Macaca mulatta: one gene and its partners. The protein of the gene in region 2 purifies or fractionates together with the protein of the main gene of each other region. This does not show direct contact. Links are inferred from orthologs where the notes say so. Each region holds a gene or a part of one and is shown on either strand. Other genes may lie near its edges.

Region 1 (2,398 bases), on a different chromosome or scaffold from region 2:
GTCCTGCAGGCTGAACACTGCAGGGCAGAGGGGGTGTCAGACCATGGGGCTGTGGGGGAGGCCCGGCCCTGCGCAGGGAGACCTGAGGTGCCCAAGAGAAGCCCGGCAGGGTCTCCACACTCCTAGTGGTGTCCCCTGGACTGGGATCCTGGAGGACCTGGATGCCCAAACTCCTCTGCCCAGCACAGATGTGTCCACTGCCACGCCATCCCCTGCCTTGCTCCCTAAAGCCAGGCACACTGGGCAGTGCTGCTGTGGGGCTTCCCGAGGCCACTCTGCCCAGCTCCTGGCCTGGACGCTGCAGCTCCCAGCGTGAGGGCTGCGTGATCTGGCCCTTCGAGCCGACCTGCTCTGGAGCCTCTGCTGTATCTCTGGTTGGGTTTTGACTCAATCTAGCTTGACTGTCACCAGCTCCAGTCTGCAGAGCTGGGGAGAGGAGCTCCATACGGGTGGGGGCTGGGTTATGCTGACCTGGGGTACAACCAGGCTCTTCACAGCTCCCTGTGCTTGCTTTATGGTTTTTTTTGTTTTGTTTTGTTTTGAGACGGAGTCTTGCCGTGTTGCCCAGGCTCGAGTGCAGTGGCGCGATCTCCGCTCACCGCAACCTCCTCCTCCCGGGTTCAAGCAATTCTCCTGCCTCAGCCTCCTGAGTGTCTGGGATTACAGGCGCCCGCCACTGCGCCCAGTTAATTTTTGTATTTTTAGTAGAGACGGGGCTTCACCGTGTTGGCCAGGCTGGTCTCGAACTCCTGACCTCAGGTGATCCACCTGCCACGGCCTCCCAAAGTGCTGGGATTATAGGCATGAGCCACCGCGCCTGGCCCGTGCTTCCTCTTAAGAAGGACAGTGACACCGTCAGCCACCCTCTCTCTGTCCAGTGGTGAACCCTGCCGGGAGGCACCAGATAATCAACAGTACCTTCCTGAGGGGGCTCCACTGGGACCTCTGATCAAGGACGTGGCCTCCCAGGAAGAGAAAATGAAACAACATGAAGCTGCAGGCATGGCTCCTGTGCCCCCGACAGCAGGATGCCAGCCCCAGAACCAGGGAAGGAGTGAGAACACACTGCCACACCAGCAATGCCGGGGACCCACAGGAATGGCAGAGTGCAGCTGCCACGGCGGCACCCTGAGGGAGGTCACCAGCTCCTCCTGTGCCCCCCGGTGCTGCTGCCTCTCCCCCGAGGCTACTCTTACCAAGTCACTGGCCTGCTGCCGGCTGAGCCCCTACTGCACATGGCCAAGGGACCTGCCTGAACCTTCCTCACTGGCCCCCGGCCCCCCTCAGCCTCCACGTGATCAGGGCAGCCCGGGTTTGGGGACCACAGGGCTGGCGGGCACCCGCCCACGCACCTCGGTTGGGCCTCCAGATCTTCTCCATGCCATGCCGCATGAGCACGATGCGGGACAGCTCCGTGAAGGACTCGATGACATTGAAGTTGCACAGGGGGCTGACCTCAAAGAAGGTCATGCAGTTCTTCTCTGCATACGCGCGGGCCTGCTCCGTCGGGACCTGCCGCTTGAAGGCCAGGTGCAGCCGGTTTCCAACCAAGATCCGGGGCACTCCGGGTGCGTGCTGGGGGCACAGAACTCAGCAGAAGCACAAACGCAGGGCGCCACCCACCCCTCAGCCGCAGCAGGGCCCGCCCTCACTGTCTGGCCTATGACGGGGTGGGGGCCGTGGGAGGTCGAGGTGGGCAGAGCCCAGGGCTCAGGCCCCACAGTGTAGGCCCTTCCAGGTGGCCCCGTAGCTCCTGGTCTTGCCGGGCTCCATGCCTGGCCGTTGCGTGCACAGTGACCAGCACGCCCAGGTGTAGGCCATGGGACAGTGCAGGGTGCAGAGCCAGGGCCACAGGAGGGGTGGCAGGCGGGAATCCAGAGCCTACCTGGGGCCCAGGCACCTCCATCCAGTCTGCCTTCCCCGGGAGGGCTCCCCGGACCCAGGCCTACCTCATCGATCTCCTTGATCCAGCGGTCGATGCCGTCAAAGGACCAGCGGTTGGTGATGTCATACACCAGAAGGATCCCCTGCAACAGAGACTTGGGGGTCACCAGGGGTCACCGACACGCACGGCCAGCCCAGGCCCAGGGACTCTCAGGTGCAGGGGTCTCGGTTCCTGGGCAGGGCCAAGGATACTTAGTACTTGGCGGACGGGCAGATGGGCGCTGCCCTTCATACAGCTGGTGCAGCCCTGCCCCCCACCTCTGCCCTCACCCGGCAAGGACTGCAGCAGGAGGGTGGGTGCCTTCCATGGTGTCATAAATGCTGCCTCCCCTCCCTCCCCTGGAGCCATCAGCCTGTGGAAGCTTCCTGGGCAGGCAGATGAGGGGTCCTGGCAGCCGGGGGACGTGCAGCTGTGGAAGCAAGTGTCCTCTCGGCCAGTCCATCGGTGAACCCT
Region 2 (4,076 bases):
TTCTATAGATTAATGCATTCTTGTTTCCCCTGCCAGGTTCCATTGGCCTGGTTACCTTTTGCCCAGGTATCAGGAGATGAGGGGATGGCGAGAGGCTCAGAATCCAAACTTGACAGAGTAGGTGTCCACCACTAGGTGACGGTGGGATCAGGCATCTCCTTAGGCTGTCTGTGCTTCTGCTTTCTTTTCAGTGGAGATGCCTGCTTTCTTGGAAACACATGTGATGGTGGGCTAGCAGTAGAAGCACTACTGTAATAACAATGTGATCTTTGTCATTTCACTTCTTCGGACCTCATTAGTCCTACATATAAAAAGAGGAAGTTAAACTAGCTCAAATGTACTGAGCAGAAGGAATGGAGACTCTGCAGATGAGGAAGCAGGGCCTGAAAAATACGTGTGGGTTGTGTCGCCACACACCGGGACTCCTGGGATCCTGACCTCTTTTAGGGGTCAAAAGAGGGCAAACTAGTTGCCTAACAATATTTAGAGCTATTTCTCTCTTTTCACTCTCATTCTACGAGTGTACACGGGAGTTTCTAGAAATTACATGGTATGTGAAGTTATCCCTCTAATGATAACCTCTAATGAGGTTATTACTGTGATTTTTAATGAATACATTTAAAAATATGTTTTAATTTCTTAAAAAGAAACATTAATCTCTATGTACGTGTGTATACATATACAGGAAATGTATGAATATTCATTATACATGAATGTACATATATTCATTGTATATATGTATATATATTCATACATATGTGTGTGTGTATATATATATTTATACATTTCCTACATAAATAAAAGCTCTTTAAGGGACTAATAATTTTTAAGTGAAAAGGAGTCCTGAGACCAAAAAGTCTGAGAATCACTGAGCCAGATTTCTAGATCTTTAAGATCATTAATTCACTCAAGAAATAATTGTGCCTCTTGTGGCCAGGCATTTTGTAGATACCGAGGACAATGTGGTGATAAGAACATATTCCCTGCTCTGATAGAGTTTTACACTTGGGAGGGAAAAGACAAACAAGTAAATTAACAAGATTATTTCTGAGAGCAGTAGTTTTAATGAAGCCATAAAGCAGGACACACATTCCAGCACAATCTGTGCGCCTGCTCAGACGTAACACCCCGCAGCGCGGCAGGCGGATTCGGCAGCGTAGCCCCGAGAAGCCCCAAGCCCGCTCGGTCGCCCCAGGAGGGCGGGGGCGGGGCCTGCCTGCCCCCCCGCCGCTGGCGTCCGGTGACGTCACTGGGCCGCGCCAGCCAATCGTGGGTGGCCGGGGTCTGGGCACCACGGTGGCCTGCGGCCTGCGGGCGGCGCTGTGGCCCGTCGGGCGGCCCGGCAGAGCCGCCCTAGCCTCCCGCCTACCCCAAGCCAACGTCTCCGCCGTCGGCTCCGCGGCGCCGCCATGGCCGACGTGGAAGACGGAGAGGAAACCTGCGCCCTGGCGTCTCACTCCGGGAGCTCAGGCTCCAAGTCGGGAGGCGACAAGATGTTCTCCCTCAAGAAGTGGAACGCGGTGGCCATGTGGAGCTGGGACGTTGAGTGCGATACGTGCGCCATCTGCAGGGTCCAGGTGATGGGTAAGCGCTGCACGCAAGGCCGGGGCCGCGCTGCGGCCTCCGGGAGCCGACTTCGGGATTGGGACTGGACGGGCGCCCGCCAGAAGCCTTGGAAAGTCCCCTGCCTTGGGGAGTGGGTGGAGGTCGCCCTGCCCGGGCGCCGGAGGAACGCGGAGCCACGATCCTGTTGCGGCTCCTGAGGGCTGAGGGGTTGTGCAACAGGCGCCCGGCGCCGGGTGGTTGGTGTTCTAGGGAGAGAAATGGGCAATAAACGGAGGTAAACAAGGTAATTTCAGGTAGTGATGGGTGTGACCAGGAAAATAAAACCGGGTGATTGTTGGGAACTAGCAGGAAACACTTCGGTTTGTGTGGCCAGCCCCTGTTCTAAAAGCTCATCGCAAGGTGGACAGAGTAAAGGCCGTGATTCAGCAGTGAACTTTAATAGTCTTGGTCACCATCAAAGTGATGCTCCGGAGTCATCTTCCACAAAACGACACCCTTAGTTCTCCTCGAGGTACACAGGAAAGTGTTCACAGCCATTGCATTTCCGGATTAGCTTACCGCCGCTCTTCGAATGGCTTTTAAATCTGGATTGATCTAAGACGGGTCAGATAGCACTAGCGTGGCTTGAAGGGGACAGTGTGATTCAAGAATATCTAAGTTTCATGGAAGCCGAAGAATTGTAAGCCCTTTTTTCAGAAATGTAGAACTTCACCTCCATTACACCCCCCTCTCCATATCGGATGTCATTTCCTGGAGAAGATACTGCCCTGCTCTGAGTCATGCCTTTGTGGAGAACCCTCTTACAAATATGTCCTCTTTCTGTGATATTTGGAGTTAAAATATTAGACCAAGCAAAATGTTTCAGAACAGCTTACTCTTGTTATATTTTATATGGTTCTAAGATCTCAGACCACTTTGAAAAGCAAGTGCTGTTTAAATGCAAGTTGTATTTTCAGATAGGGCATTTAAAATTACTGTGAGAGCATCTTCAGTGGAGTTCTTTATTGAGGGTAGTTAAAGAAAACAGACATTTCTGTAGTTTGAAAACTGACTTGTCTTGAAAAATGAGAGAATTGGAGAACATAAAGAGAATTGCTGTCCTTGAGGGGGGATGAGACTTTAAACCTACCAGAATCAAGAGATTTCTCAATTTATGCTCTTTTGTCTTTTATTCTAAGGGCTTGTTTCAAAGAGGATTTACAACAATTGGATTCAGATATTTTTACCTTTTACTTTTGAAAGACCTTGTTATTAGACATGACCCACTTATTTTATATGGATCACTTGAGCCCAAGAGTTTGAGACCTGCCTAGGCAACATCGCAAGACCCTATCTCTACAATTAAAAATTAAAATAAAGTGACCAGGCATGGTGGCCTCCAGCTACTCAGGAGGCTGAGGTGGGAGGATCCCTTGAGCCCAGGAGGTCGAGGCTACAGTGAGCCTTTTTCCTGCCACTGCCACGATACTCTAGCTTGGGTGACAGAATGAGACCCTGTCTCAAAAACAAACAAACAAAACATATTAGGCTTTAAAAGTATCTAGTTTATTTGCCAGCAGTACAGCTGCCCCTACCCTCACTTAGGAATCATAGTTTCCAGTTTGGGAAGCATTTTTTAACTGATCCAAGAGACTTTTTTTTTTTTTTTTTTTTTTTTTTTGCAATACAAGTTTTGCTAAACATTTTATCTCCTAAATAAATTCCTTTAGTTTAAAGGAAACTAAACTTTCACTTAGTTCCTTTTCAGTTTAAAAATAATGTTCCCAAAGGGTATTTTCAAAAGATTTCTCTCCCAAAAAGCTATTTCCTCCCCGAAGGAAAAACATTTAAGCAGTAAGTGGAAATGTATAACCTGAAATAATGATTGAAACTTTGCAACAAATAAACTTTACTGAGATATTTTAATGTAGGTCAAAGTATAGGCTATAAATGACACATTTCATCATAAACTTTCTAATTATAGCAAGTATTCTGCTACTACAGGATCAGTCTTGCATATTTGCAAACAGCTGTACTTTGGGTTCAGGAAAGTATTCTAGGCTAGACCTTTGTATTTTGTTTATGAGGTGTTAAAACCCACTTAGAGGTCAGGTGACAGCAGAAGGAAACTTTTTTTCCAGACTTCCTAGTCTTTACCCTAGCACCCTTCTAAAAGGTGTTATTGTACTCCTTAGAAATGTGCTGTTTTAGATTCTAGGAAGATCATTAAAGCAAATTTTTATCTTTTATCTGCAACTTTAGGAATTTGTGTAGATTTGGGTCAGTTTTGATAATCTACATTAGAGCTATAAGCGTAATTTAGAGATTCCTAGATTCAGCAACAAGAACCCACTTTGTTCCCTTTCCTTAGTATTTGGAATTTATCTCACACTTGTGATTTATTATACTTTCTGCTCCCAAGATTTGCCCGTCAGCCCATTCTGATATGGATAACACTCTCATCTTCGTTTCCACTATCCTCCCTTCATTCAGAAAAGAGTGATGATTGCATAGTGAGCAAAGTGCTGATG
Region 3 (3,500 bases), on a different chromosome or scaffold from region 2:
TATAATCCCAGCATTTAGGGAGGCCAAGACAGGAGGATGGCTTGATCCCAGGGAGGTCAAGGCTGCAGTGATCTGCAATCCTCACCACTGCCTTCAGCCCAGGCAGCAGAGAAGACCCTGTCTCTGAAAAAATTAAAAACAAATCATAATGATCTCAACTTCTTACTATTTTTCAGAGTAACTTTTCTTAACCCTAAAACAAATGTTTGGTAAATAAAAAACCTGCAAGGGTACACCCACGATAGCAGTTTTTTCTACAGCAGCTCAGGCCAGGTTGACAACAAAGCTTTTGGTGGGAGGCGTCTTTTTTTTTTTTTTTAGATAGAGTTTCGCTCTGTTGCCCAGGCTGGAGTGCAATGGTGCGATCTCGGCTCACTGCAACTTCTGCCTCCTAGGTTCAAGCGATTCTCCTGCCTCAGCCTCCCGAGTAGCTGGGATTACAGGCATGTGACACCATGCTCGGCTAATTTTGTATTTTTAGTATAGACGGGGGTTTCTCCATGTTGGTCAGGCTGGTCTCAAACTCCTGACCTCAGGTGATCCGCCCGCCTTGGCCTCCCAAAGTGCTGGGATTACAGGTGTGAGCCACCGCACCCGGCCCGGTGGGAGGTTGTATTTTTAGCCTAAACCCTCTCTCCCTGTCAAGGGAAAGCATTTAGGAGAAAGCATTGGTCCGTTGTTTTGGGTCGTCTTCAGTTCAGCATGTAGCAACCAAAAGTCATGCAGCAGAAGCATCCCTGAGCCGTCGTTCAAACCAACCAGAAGGAAGTTTCACAAACATTCTGTGCGTGGCTCTCCTCACGCATGCCCCATGGCACTCACCTTCAATCAAACTCAACACCGTCAACCGTCTGCTCCCCCAAAACACGCACAGCTCTTACAGGGCCACATTCGTCTGGGCTACACGTTGTCGGGTGCTCTATTCCTCTAGCTCTGGTAGGGTTCATCCCTCACTGAGCCCAGACCCCGAGGGCACCGTGCAGACAAAGCCCCGTCCTCCAGGCGCTCAATCTCCAGGGCAGCGCTGGCCCCCAGACTTTGCCACAGCGACATCCGAACTATCTAGAAATGTGACTAATGGAAGCTTTTTGTTTTGTTTCCTTATAATGACACTTCCACAGCCACACGTGGCTCATGGCATGTGACTGGACACCACGGTCCTAGAGACCTGCCGCTGAGCGGGGAGTGGGGTGGGGACAGGTAAAGACGCAGACTCCCCTCCTGCCCCACGGAGCACACTCTGCACCCGTCGGCTGCGAGAGACTCCCCGGCGTGCTGCAGTTTAAGGAAGCCTCCGGGTGTTGGTCGTGAGCCCAAGCCCATCTCAGCTGCTCCCCCAAACTCTTCACCCCCTTCCCTAAGCTGAGGCGTGGCCGGGCACCTGAGTCTCACCCCACGCTCCACAGTCTCAGGCCACCCCCTCCAGCCGTGCCACGCTCACCTCCCTTGGTCCTCATGCAGCCTGCCTGGAGCTGCCCGTAGGAGACGGCCTGCACCCTCTACTCTGCAGCCTCAGATCCCGCTTCCTCCCACCCGCTCTGGCAAAGCTCGTCTCTGGCAGGACCCTTCCCAGGCCCCAGAGCTGACAGGACCTTCCCACCAAGACTCCATCTCCAAGCCTCGGCTCCCCTCCTCCGCCCAGGACCCAGAGCGGGGGTCTCTGTTGGAAGTGTGGGTTCAGCCCCGAGGCGTGGCAGGCAGGTGGGCACAGCGGGGCTCCGTCCACAGCCGCAGGGTCGGCCTCGTCCGCGCGGTTCCAGGGACGCGGGTGGGTGAAGGCCCCGCCTGCTCCTCACTCCCGGCCGAGGTGTCCGCCTCTGCGCATTCCCCCTTCTCCTGGTTCCTGCCTCCGCCTTTCTTTCCCCGGAGCCGTCCACCCCCTCGCCGGGCGCCGGCTTTCAAGCCTCAAACTTCGGGGATCCCCGGGCTGTCTGCCTGGGAGCTCTGTGCGCTGCGGCCTCCCCTCGCCCTGGAACCCCCTCTCCGGCCGCTGTCGTGGGGGGTCCCCTCTTCCGCACGCGAGTCACCTGCGCTCCTTCCTCTCCCCCGGACACGCGGGACCCCTGGCCTCGGGACCGGACCCTGGTCTCCCCTCCCCTCCGATCCACGCGCAGACCCAGCACCTGGGAGCCTGCTCGCCGCGCTCCGCCCCAGGCGCCCCGGAGCTCGCGTCCCCTCCCGCCCCTCCCGCCCCCGCGGCCGAACGCGCACGTGCGGACCCGAGTCCTCCCCGGGTCCCCGCGGAGGCGGCCCCAGGTCGGGAGGGGCACAGCGACCGGCCCAGCCGCGGGCTCCCGCTGCGCGCAGACTGCGGAGAAGGATGGAGACTGCGCCGCGGGGGCCTCGAGCGGAACGGGGGTGCCGGGTGTAACAGGGACGCCGCCGCACGAGGGCCAGGCCGGGCGGAGAAAGGCGAACCGCGCTCCTCCTCAGCCGCGCGCCCCCGGACCCGGACTCCCACCCTCCCCGGGCCCGCGCCCCCGCCTCTTCCCGACCCCTCCCCGGCCTCGTGCCTCCGAACCCGGACTCCCACCCGCACCCCCTCCCAGCCCCGCGCCCCTCCCCGGACCCACGCCCGCACCCAGGCGCGCCCTCCGCCCGCGCTCACCCGCCGGGTGGCCGTACGGGGACTCGGCCGCGCCGTCCTGCAGGCTCGCCAGGATCTCGCCCTTGCCCACGTCGCTGTCGCCCACCAGCAGGAACTTGAGCAGGAAGTCGTAGGCCCGGACCGGGCTGCCCAGCGCGCTCATCGTGCCGGCCCGGCGCCCCAACCCATGCCCGGCCTGCGGGGCTGCGCGCAGAGGCGGCGGCCGGGCCCCGAGAGGCGCCGCGCGGGCCCCGAGTCCTTGCTTGCAGCCGGCCCCGCCCCGCCGCCCAGCGCTGACAGCGCGCAGCCCCGCCCGGCCCCGCCATTGGTGGACCGCAGTTGCTAGGGCGGCTGCGCATTTTCATTGGTGTGGTTGTCCGTCCATCTTACTCTCGTCGCCGCCTCCGGGCTGAAGCCCAACCGCCCCTCCTGGAAGGACGCTGTCGCCGCGGCCAATGGAGGCCCGGAGACGGAGCAGGGGCGGAGCCAGAACAAGCAGGAGGCGGGGACTCTGCTCCCGCAGCCAATGGCGAGGCGGGGCGGGGGCGAGTAGGGGGTGGGGCCGAGTGTTTACACTCTCGCGTGCGCCTGTCAGCGCCGCGAACTCGCTCCCACGCCGTCGGGTCTGCACGCACCGAGTCGGGCGGGGCGTGGGGCCGTGCTGGGTCCCGGCGTGGGGCCTCCACACCTGCCCACCAGGGAGACCTCCGGTGCCGGGCCGGGTGGGGCTTAGGGGGTCGGTCCAGTTCGCGGACGCGGCCGGAAGGGCCCCCGCAGGCCGCCTCGCCGCAAGAGTCCCTGTCGCCGTAGAATCCAGGCTCGCGGTCTCTCCCCACAGTTCATCCAGGGCCTCGTCCTTGCCCCATTTACGCGGCGTGCCTGAATGCCTGTGTGTGCACATGCGCCTGTGTAC

What was found. The genes of interacting proteins can lie anywhere in the genome.
Region 1: the proteins of RNF7 (region 2) and RAB40C purify together in Homo sapiens (co-immunoprecipitation; 4 studies listed by BioGRID and IntAct, with this or other methods). This does not show direct contact. The link is inferred for Macaca mulatta from reciprocal best matches to the Homo sapiens genes RNF7 and RAB40C.
Region 3: the proteins of RNF7 (region 2) and RAB40B purify together in Homo sapiens (affinity purification with mass spectrometry; 3 studies listed by BioGRID and IntAct, with this or other methods). This does not show direct contact. The link is inferred for Macaca mulatta from reciprocal best matches to the Homo sapiens genes RNF7 and RAB40B.

The regions. Positions count from the first base shown.
Region 1 is NC_133425.1:1,839,365-1,841,762, reverse strand, and holds part of RAB40C (ras-related protein Rab-40C), read right to left. Parts: intron 2,028-2,398; coding exon 1,950-2,027; intron 1,576-1,949; coding exon 1,353-1,575; intron 18-1,352; coding exon 1-17. UniProt on the Homo sapiens protein: RAB40C small GTPase acts as substrate-recognition component of the ECS(RAB40C) E3 ubiquitin ligase complex which mediates the ubiquitination and subsequent proteasomal degradation of target proteins.
Region 2 is NC_133407.1:44,728,250-44,732,325, forward strand, and holds the start of RNF7 (RING-box protein 2), read left to right. Parts: upstream 1-1,276; 5' UTR 1,277-1,409; coding exon 1,410-1,584; intron 1,585-4,076. UniProt on the Homo sapiens protein: Catalytic component of multiple cullin-5-RING E3 ubiquitin-protein ligase complexes (ECS complexes), which mediate the ubiquitination and subsequent proteasomal degradation of target proteins.
Region 3 is NC_133421.1:92,410,318-92,413,817, forward strand, and holds part of RAB40B (ras-related protein Rab-40B), read right to left. Parts: intron 2,853-3,500; exon of another isoform or gene 2,809-2,852; 5' UTR 2,751-2,808; coding exon 2,609-2,750; intron 1-2,608. UniProt on the Homo sapiens protein: RAB40B small GTPase acts as substrate-recognition components of the ECS(RAB40B) E3 ubiquitin ligase complex which mediates the ubiquitination of target proteins.